Linked DNA regions of Kluyveromyces lactis. The protein of the gene in region 3 purifies or fractionates together with the protein of the main gene of each other region. This does not show direct contact. Links are inferred from orthologs where the notes say so. Each region holds a gene or a part of one and is shown on either strand. Other genes may lie near its edges.

Region 1 (2,879 bases), on a different chromosome or scaffold from region 3:
TTCCAAATATTGTACGCATCTTAATTGAATCAAACTGACCAAAACGGTTTTAATACTGGACAACGAAAGTTCTGGTATGAAAGAATGAATTTCTCTCGTGGAGAGTCTTCCTTTGTTGACCAACACGGATAGAACAGTACTGGCTCTTTCACCAAGATGGGATCTGGCAAGTTCAGAGTATAAAAACGAATCTGGGTTAAGAGTTCTCTGCTCTAATGAAGAGATATCGATTGGTTCTGGTGATGTGGATGTGGATGGTTCTGCGGCTGATACAACACTTGCACCACCATTTGGAACAGCCGCATCGGGGATCAGGGCAGCTTGGGCAGCACTCATGTCAGTGCTTGCAATAACAATTGTTTATTTTCCTACCTTTTCTACAGTCGAGCCACCTTGTTGCAGTAGTCATGCATGTATGCGATGAGATGAGATGAGATCAATTCAATTGATAGATTTTTTTTTTCTTTCAATACGAATGGATGGGTCTTTCAAGAAGATCGAAAGAAACAGGCAACATTATTGTAAGTCACGTGGTCACAACCACGTGACTTTTGTGTTTCTGTGTCACGTGACATCTCATCACTCACGAACCAATCATTTCTAAGAACCGTGTCCAACCATTTTTTCTTCAAATGGTTTACCAATACCCTTTCACAGTGCATTACGCGATTCCTGTCTGTTCCCTCTCACTCCCAGTACGTTCCGCTAAAACCCGATATCCCCTTCTTACTGTGACTCCAAGATGGTCTAAGCACGCTTCTCCTTTCTACAGAATCAGCTCGCTTCTTCTCTGATTCCTCTGTAGAGATCAGTCTTCACATCTCGAAATATCTTTTTTTTTTCAATTTTTTTTTTTTTTGTTAGTTATTGGATTTTATCGCATATAGCTTTATTCAATAGGTTCTTGAAAAATTTATAACAAAATATGACAATTCTACTTCAAAGTTTAGAGCTTTTTGTTTGAAGATTGGTTTTGATTACAGGTTTTGTAAAGATTTGTGATTGATATACTATTTTGATTACTTTGTTTTACTCGTTACTCTGTCAGTGTACTTTTTTTGCTCTGTTTCGATACTTATTTTGTGTGTGAGTAAATATTATTTGAGTTTGGACATTAAAGGAAAAGTAGAGGAAGACCTTTTGATTAACGCATAATTGATATTGATATTGATTGATATTCTGACTCCCAAAATTAAAAAGCCCATAAACATATAATATAAAGATGTTGTCCAGTAGATTACAATTTGCCCAGCAAACTGCTAGAAAATTCAGTATTTCCGCTAAAGACGGTTCCGGTAAACTATCCACTTTGGCTGTTAAGGTTCACGGTGGTTCTCGTTACGCCGACAAAGAAGGTATTGCCCACCTTTTGTCCAGATTCAACTTCCATAACACCGGTAACAAGTCTGCTTTGAGATTGGTTAGAGAAAGTGAATTGTTGGGTGGTAAGTTCGAATCCAGTGTTGACAGAGAATACATCACTTTGAAGGCTACTTTCTTGAAGGAAGATCTTCCATACTTCGTTAACGCTTTGGGTAACGTTTTGTACAAGACCAGTTTCAGACCCCACGAATTACCAGAATCTGTCTTGCCAGCTGCTAAGTACGACATTTCCGTTTCTGAAACTAACCCAATCAACAAGGCCGAAGACTTACTTTACAATGTCTCTTTCAGAAAGGACTTAGGTAACACAGTTCTATACAGAGGTGTCGAGAAGGTCACCTTGGATGATATCAAGGCTTATGCCAACAAGGTCTACACCAAGGAAAACATTGAAATTGTTGGTCAAGGTGTCAACGAAGCTGACTTGAAGAGATTTGTCAACGACTCTTTGATTGGTTCTTTACCAACTGGCTCCAAGTTGGCTGCTCAAGCTCAACCAAAGTTCTTCTCCGGTGAAGCCAGATTAAGTGCTCCAGGTGCCTCCGTTGCCGCTATCGCTGTTCCAGTTACTAAGGAACAGTTCGCTACCTACGAAGTCTTGGCTAAGTACCTAACCTCTGCTTTGTCCGAATTGTCTCCATTAATTGACTCAGCTAAGTTAGACAAGTACGCTAATGCCGGCTTGTTCTCTTTATACGTCAAGGGTGAGGATGCTTCTGTCGTTGCTGAAAACATAAAGAAGGTCGTTGATACCTTGAAGAAGGATGTCGACATTTCAGCTGCTAAGGAATACACTGCCTTGCAATTATCTTTGGAAAACGCTCCAATCGATGTCTCTAATGTCAAGAATGTCAAGTTGGACAAATTCTCTTACGCCGCTGTAGGTAACGTCGCTAAGCTACCTTTCGCTGATGAATTGTAAATTTCATCACAGTTAAAAATAACTCACAGATTTTAACCTTTCTCCTACTAGCCAAAGTTACACACATAGTACTTTAAAACTGAAAAAAAAACAACAAACAAACACACATATTCATGAGAGATGACAGAATCACATCACTGAAATGTTTAGAAACGATATTACATTTCTATTGTACATATTTTTTATTATCTTTTACCTTTCGTGGCTTTTGGAAACATTGCAACCTAAAAGAAACCAATAAAATTCAAAAACAAAACTCTCTAAGATTCAAAAGAACACCTTTAACCTTTGGAAAAACTGGTGATGTTAAAAGAGAACCCGTCAATATCTTAATCTTTTGAAATGTGCAGAAGCCACTGATCAAATTCAACAGTTCTGTTGATTCATACAATCCCCATCACTGCTCTTAAGAAAAACAATCAAACAGAGGTTGTGGTGATATTGCAAGAACGTTGGTTTAATACGTAGTGTGTCTTCTTGCCGAACCTATTTTTATTTTCACATATCATCTTAGAAACTTATCACTTATTTATTGAAGTATATATCTCTGAACAAATATCAGTTAACATATTAT
Region 2 (2,117 bases), on a different chromosome or scaffold from region 3:
CGTTTTCCCCTTATTTTTTGTTCGGTTAACAATGGGGAACAATGTAAAGTTAAAGTTTTTGGAACGTAAAGTCAGTTTGTATTCATCATTCGTGAAAAAAAAGTAAGTATTGAGTTACTAAAGACGTTTGCCATAACGCTGAGCATATCGAAGTTGATGTACTGCTTGTCACAGATTCAGTACAATAGATATTGATAATGAAGAAACTTATATCTACTTATGATCATTGACACAGTGTGACGTGTTTTATTCTATTTTTCTAGGACTGAATTTACAATAAAGATAAAAAGTGTGTTTATTCTTCTTGAGTTAAATAATAATTATTTGTATGGTGGAAACTCCACTATAAAGTTTATCCATATGTTTGTTGTATTTTGAAGTATAATGCCAGATTAAACGGATGTTTGAATTCTTTTGAAGATAATTTGAGGATATTTGATAAAAGGTGTTTTAAAAGATAAAAAAACCCACAGGCAGGGGCTATCTTGATATTTCATTATGAATGGCCAAAGCCCAACAAGTTGAGATCATTTATCGAACTGTGTTTAATCGTGAGAGACGTGTCTGTTAATGACTGGGTTCCAGAACAAAGTCTTGTCACCGTCACCCCAGAAGAAAGGCTTTTGTCTTAAGTTTTGGAATTCGTAGTCTCTTGGCCATTCTTCATCTGGAACGTGCTTCAAATGTTCACGGTGCTCAGCGTGTTCAGCTTCAACGAAGTAGGTGTTGACAGCGGTCAGAGCAATAGCTGGAGCAGCAACAAATATGGAGATCTTAACCCACAAGTTAGAGGTTTGCTTAGCGTGCTCAGTACTGTGCTTCATGTAGTCCTTGTAAGCTTGGGCAGCAGCCAAATCTGGCTTACCGAAAGCTGGTTCCAAAGCATACTTTGGTAGAGTAGAAGCTCTTCTAATGGCTTGTTTGAACATTTTTGATTATATCTAGGGTCTGGCTTTTCGAAACAGAATATCCTTATGGAATTAATTCACCAAACACAGTTGACGTTAAATAGATATCAAACTCGAAATGAATGTAAAATGAATTGTAAACAGTAAGAAAACTAATCACAAAAATCTCTTTTAAAAAAGTACTTTGACTTACCAATAAAACCTTTTCTATTATGGAAAGAGTAGCTTTAATAACTTGAACTTTCCTAACTATTAAACAATTTTTTTTTTCCTACCTCCAAAATTTTCTAGCATCAACACAATCTCTCTCGCGATATTTCCATATCCCACTCCATATAAAAAACCAAAAATGGCACGACGGAGAAACTAGACAAAGATCATGCTTTTTCGATGTTGTAATTTCGGTATCACATTACACGGTATGAAAATGATTGGTTGCTGGTCACGAGAGACTTAAGTTCTGGTAATGGACACTGAGCATAAAAGGTTCCTATTCCTTGTTTAAATGGTGTTGCTGTCTCGCCGGGACTACAAACCCACAAGTAGCTCATACGATACCGTTCACACTGGCAACAGATTCAGAAGTACTTCCTACTTTATTTTCTGTTTCTGTTGCATCTCTTTATACATATTGACAAACAGTGTAATATTGACGTTCAGGAATTCAAGTCCGGGTAACAATATTTGTTTCACGGCCTGGCGGTAATTGATTTTGGGTTTTTAGCAAACCTGAGCCATCGCATGTCATTCTAGTAGCTGCTGCAGGGACTTGCCGGCTGGGGTTGGTGTAGTGGACAGAAACACCGTTCCTAATATATAGAATGCTAGATTAAGCTGAGAGCTTGTTGCATTGAATTCAAAAAACAAGCGCGTTGGCTAATAGAACGCCCGTAGGATCAGCCATGGTTATGGAAATCAAAAGATTGCCTATTGCTGCTTAAGTGTAGCACGAACTTGTGGGTAATGTAACGTTTGTAATTACAAGGGCGTATGACATAAATTAAAAAAAAGAAGAAAAGTAAGAAGGAACACATACAGACTCCTAATGGATACTGTGTATCGACAAATAAAAGCTAGGACATTTGAAGTAAAGAGAGTATTACATCTTTAGTTTGTCTTTGAATTCTTTGATTTTTCCATGAATCTTTCGTATTTCCTTTTCACATCCACTTCATGGATAGATGAGCCTGTCACTTGATTTCCTATCGT
Region 3 (2,123 bases):
GGGGAAAGTAATAACGTCACGTGACTTTCATTAGTGGAGAAACTTATCCATCTATATATATATATACATGTAAAACAGGCAAGCACACCGATCGTCGACATATGAGCACGACGATCACGCCCTTGACACGCAGATGTAAGTATTCATAATAAAGTAGTTTTTCAAATTCGTATAAACAGTGAAGTATAGAAGATATATTTGAGGGGAGTAACCACTTGATGAAAACCTCCAATAAATACGGTACTGAGCCAAACCCGAAAAGAGAGAATTAAAAACCGAGGATGTGAACTTCCACTCGCTCTCTCCTTTTCAATAGTATCTAATAATACTGAAACTCTTTTCGATGGCCTGACATGATAAAAAATGTTCTTGTGACGTGAGAAATATATCTTGAATGTTGATAAAAGTGTCAAAAGGGTGCTGCCGCACCTCTTTTTCCATGTAAGCTTTTAAACCTGGACAGAAGAAAGAAAGGAACTAGTCTAGTGTTGTAATAACATTGTTTAAACGTTAACTCTTTCTAATTCTTCTCTACCGGCCTTAGTGTACAAGTAAGCGTTGTAGTCTCTGCAGTTGACCCACCAAGCCCAGTACAAAGCAGCTGGAAGAGCCATGTACAAAATTTGGCTCTTAACTCTTCTAAATGTGTTAAAAACAGCGTTGTGGAAGATGTTGTTCAATGGCTTTTGAGCATATGGAGAAACAGTGTATGTAGTAATACCCTTTTGGGCTGGGGAACCTATACTACCCCACCAGCCCATGTAAGCCTTAGCATGTGGACCACCCATTTCGTCTTAATATTTTAATTCTTGGTCTTGCGGATACTGAGTCAGAGACTAAACTATGTATAATAGTTTTCCATCTTTGCATCATTTGAATATCTGAATAAGTAGAGGTTTAAAGCTTATTTCTTATATATAAAGCTTTTTCCCTCGCTGGAAGATTTTCAAGACTTCGTCTTTTAGAAGCGAAAAGGCCGAAACGTAGTATTATTGGTTCGTATACAGTGATACTGGTAGTGAAACTTACTTTTATTTATTTAGTTGCACGTGATCTAAAATGGTTAGATAATATATGCTTTACCTACTTCTTTCTGTGGTATATTTTGTTCAAGAACAAGGTTAGAACTTCGGCCTTGAACCCACGGGATTCGTCGATGTTAGCGATTTTCTCTCTTAAGTTGGAAGCGGTTTCTTCTTCGTACTTGTGGTAGATGTCTTGGATGTTCAATTCGTTGAATACAGCTCTACATTTTTGTTCCTTTTCAGAATCCTTTCTACCGTAGTTTTCGTCCAAGATATCTCTTTGTTCTTTTGTAGCATTCTTCAATGCAACGTTGATGACCCAAGAACATTTGTTGTCTTGGATATCGGTACCAATCTTACCGATATCTTCTGGTTTACCGAAACAATCCAAGAAATCGTCTTGGATTTGGAAATATTCTCCCAATGGGATCAATACGTCGCTGGCCTGTTTCAAGTCCTTTGAGTCGGTAATACCGGCAGCAAACATGGCCAGTGCCACTGCTAAGTAGAAAGAGTAGTATGCAGTCTTGAAGATAACGATGAAGGAATGCTTTTCCAAAGAGAACTTGGATAAGTCGACTTTGTCCTCTGGTGCAGTGATCAAATCCAACAACTGACCCAATTCGGTTTGAAAAGTAACGTCATGGAACAATTCCAATAGATCGACGTAGTATGGCTCTGTTCTGAAGTGTTTCTTCAACAGACAGTAGATGGCACCTTCCAACATGAATGCATCGTTGATCGCAATGTCGCCGACGTTTTCCACTTTGTACCAACATGGTTGTCCTCTTCTTGTGATCGATTGGTCCATCATGTCATCAGCAACCAAGAAGTACGCTTGCAACAGTTCAATACACCAACCAAGGATGGCAACCTTCTTGTACTCTTCTGCAGATAGTTCGCTCACTGACTTGTAACCTTTCAAAAGCGCGTATGTGTCAACGACAGAAAGACCACGGTTCAACTTACCACCTGGGGTGTTGTAGTTCAATGATTTTTCGTACCATTCGATGGCTTCTTCGGGCATACCGTACCCGGCCAAGATGTCTCTAAGCTCTTGTACTAATGATGGGAACACTTCCAAAAACTGGGCTCTGT
Region 4 (2,436 bases), on a different chromosome or scaffold from region 3:
CAAGTTGCTCTATTAGAAATGAAAAGATTACAAGCAATTTTGGTCCGCATTTTTGATAATTTATGAAGGTTCTTGATTGGTTCAAAAAAGTAGTGGTATAATGTTATGAAAGCCGTACCAGCCGTCTCTATTGAAAAAAAATTGAAATAAGCTGACATTAAAAAACAACCATAACAGGTAAGGCAGCACGCCCGCATTTTTGATCTCGTGGATGGTTGCGCCACGATGCAATGAAACTGTTACAATAATCAATGATAAAAAATAGATCTTCTTTTATTAACTTGTCATGACATAGAATAATGTGAGACAAAATAACTCACCATGAAAGGTAGATTTGGTACGTTAGATCTGCTTCATTTCATTTCGTACAAGGCAGTGCTGTAAAAAAAAAACAGTTAATAGTATATGGGTCAAAATTATTCACAAGAAGGATGTGATGAGGGTGAAAATAGAATTGTACGCCTTGTAGTGTGAAGGCAATATCGTATTTCACCTCAGCTAGATTGAATTCTTCAAAAATTCAATCATATTTAAAAATCTTGGCCTTAACTCTGTCTTCGTTACTTCTGTAACCAGCGGTTGCAGCCATCTCTTCTTCCTTCTCAGCATGCTCCAAAGCCGCTTGCCAACGACGGTCTCTAGCCTCCTTCTTTTGATCTGGATGTAGCTTTTCCTCGTACATAGATAAACCAATTGAGGCTAGTAACAAAATCACAGTTATACCTTGAGCATACATTCTTGCCTGCACAGCCTTTTGGGCTTTGGTCATGTATAAGTCCCTATCAACCAATTTCCAGGATCCATACAAGGAAGCAGCCCATGCACCAACAATGATCTTGTACTTATTGTTGGACAAACCTTCGACCAATTTTTCGCTCATAGGCAGGTTCTTCCATCTGTTATGTTCAGCAAGAATATCACTGGACGAAGAGTCACCATACATTTTCTTATCAAAACTGTTAGAAGATTCTTCAGCGACAATAGAAGCCAAAAGAGTTGGAGGCGTGATGAATAAAGCAGTCTTGACAGACCATGTCATAGCCTTTGGATTGAATTTAGGATAACGATGGGGTAAAAACCTGAACATAGCTGCAGAAATTAACAGACCTGCAGCTGCACCTTTAACACCACCCATCAGGGTGTAGTGACGATGAGCATCAATTTCTTCTCTTGTTAAAATCTTCATCTTGCTGTGCTGGTTTTTTCGTCTTTCAGTTACTTATCTCTTAAGCTAACTTTTGATTCCCTTAGTTTAAATAAGGTGATAAATATCGAATTAATACTGGAACAAAATCCTAATATATCCCGATATTTATTTTAGCCAAGAGGATAAGCATTAACAAATTTTAACTGTCAAACGATATATATATATATAATTTGAAATGATTCTGTAAACGAATAAACCGAGAGAATGCTCTTCCTTATATACGATACTTTTAAATTCCCTCCCTGCCTTTGTTCCAATTATACTTTAATTTTGGTTCGATTTTACTTTTTTACTTTTTTCCTTCCCGTATGATAAATATTCTTTGTTCCTTTATTTCTTTTTCCTGCAATATCGTATACGATTTAGGATTTATGATTGTCCATGAGGCACTGCTACTGATGTTACGTAATTTTGGCAGTTAGCCAAACCCTATATCTCTCGTTCTTGTTGCCAGCCCATGAACAGGCTCAGCGTAACCTGTTCATTGCTATCAACGTATCAATGAACCATTCGATTGAAATTTCTTCCAAAGGTCAGACAAGTTTTTGTCTGAAAATAACTCCGTCAATTAGAAAGTGACTATGTTCATTACACTGATGTTCAAAATCAATCCATACTTTAGCGAAGCTAATACCTAAGTGGGACCAGCCGAACGAACTGTCCTACTCAGAAGGATTTGCGCGTGCATACGGAGATAGTGGTTTTAGTAGTTGTTACCTGAGAAGAAGCCGGTCGGAATTTGCCACGGTTGTGGCTCCACATTTCCTTGACACAAAGTTTCCTGTGATATGATTGGTCAGTCACACATGTTTAAAAAAAAAGGAAGAGCAGAGAATATGCATCGACTAACCCTAACAGCTGGAACCTACCAGATTCATCCAATAGAGTTACAGGATCTTCGAAAAGCTTCAGTTTTGGACCTAAGGCATCGGATCGTTCGGATAATATCCATTGCAATTAGTGCAGTGTTGCGTTCATTAGCCTGACCTTTTAATACAAGGGAGAGTGATTACCATTTTGAGAAATCGCCGAAATACTATTTTTCAGGTTTCTACTCTTAAGAAAAAGAGCTTAATATGTGGAAAGCCTTTGCTTTGAATATGGCCAGCAGAGTTTTGTACATCACTCTGTTTTGACGTAACCGATATGTATACTAGCTTGAGTCTCTACTGAAATACTTGTAAAATGAACGCATATTAGACTATTGAAGATTTTTTTCAACTAGTTAA

The links.
Region 1: the proteins of QCR8 (region 3) and QCR2 purify together in Saccharomyces cerevisiae (affinity purification with mass spectrometry; 4 studies listed by BioGRID, with this or other methods). This does not show direct contact. The link is inferred for Kluyveromyces lactis from reciprocal best matches to the Saccharomyces cerevisiae genes QCR8 and QCR2.
Region 2: the proteins of QCR8 (region 3) and COX13 purify together in Saccharomyces cerevisiae (affinity purification with mass spectrometry; 3 studies listed by BioGRID, with this or other methods). This does not show direct contact. The link is inferred for Kluyveromyces lactis from reciprocal best matches to the Saccharomyces cerevisiae genes QCR8 and COX13.
Region 4: the proteins of QCR8 (region 3) and RCF2 purify together in Saccharomyces cerevisiae (affinity purification with mass spectrometry; 3 studies listed by BioGRID, with this or other methods). This does not show direct contact. The link is inferred for Kluyveromyces lactis from reciprocal best matches to the Saccharomyces cerevisiae genes QCR8 and RCF2.

Annotation. Positions count from the first base shown.
Region 1 is NC_006038.1:323,314-326,192, forward strand, and holds QCR2 (ubiquinol--cytochrome-c reductase subunit 2), read left to right. Parts: upstream 1-1,222; coding exon 1,223-2,305; downstream 2,306-2,879. Other genes in the region: RPC82 (DNA-directed RNA polymerase III subunit C82), read right to left, coding at 1-336. UniProt on the Saccharomyces cerevisiae protein: Component of the ubiquinol-cytochrome c oxidoreductase, a multisubunit transmembrane complex that is part of the mitochondrial electron transport chain which drives oxidative phosphorylation.
Region 2 is NC_006042.1:844,156-846,272, forward strand, and holds COX13 (cytochrome c oxidase subunit VIa), read right to left. Parts: upstream 930-2,117; coding exon 546-929; downstream 1-545. Other genes in the region: IME4 (mRNA (N6-adenosine)-methyltransferase), read right to left, coding at 2,016-2,117. UniProt on the Saccharomyces cerevisiae protein: Component of the cytochrome c oxidase, the last enzyme in the mitochondrial electron transport chain which drives oxidative phosphorylation.
Region 3 is NC_006037.1:609,720-611,842, reverse strand, and holds QCR8 (ubiquinol--cytochrome-c reductase subunit 8), read right to left. Parts: upstream 789-2,123; coding exon 504-788; downstream 1-503. Other genes in the region: ERG20 (bifunctional (2E,6E)-farnesyl diphosphate synthase/dimethylallyltranstransferase), read right to left, coding at 1,084-2,123. UniProt on the Saccharomyces cerevisiae protein: Component of the ubiquinol-cytochrome c oxidoreductase, a multisubunit transmembrane complex that is part of the mitochondrial electron transport chain which drives oxidative phosphorylation.
Region 4 is NC_006042.1:573,901-576,336, forward strand, and holds RCF2 (Rcf2p), read right to left. Parts: upstream 1,187-2,436; coding exon 521-1,186; downstream 1-520. UniProt on the Saccharomyces cerevisiae protein: Assembly factor that plays a role in the assembly of the respiratory chain supercomplexes (SCs) composed of ubiquinol-cytochrome c oxidoreductase (cytochrome b-c1 complex, complex III, CIII) and cytochrome c oxidase (complex IV, CIV).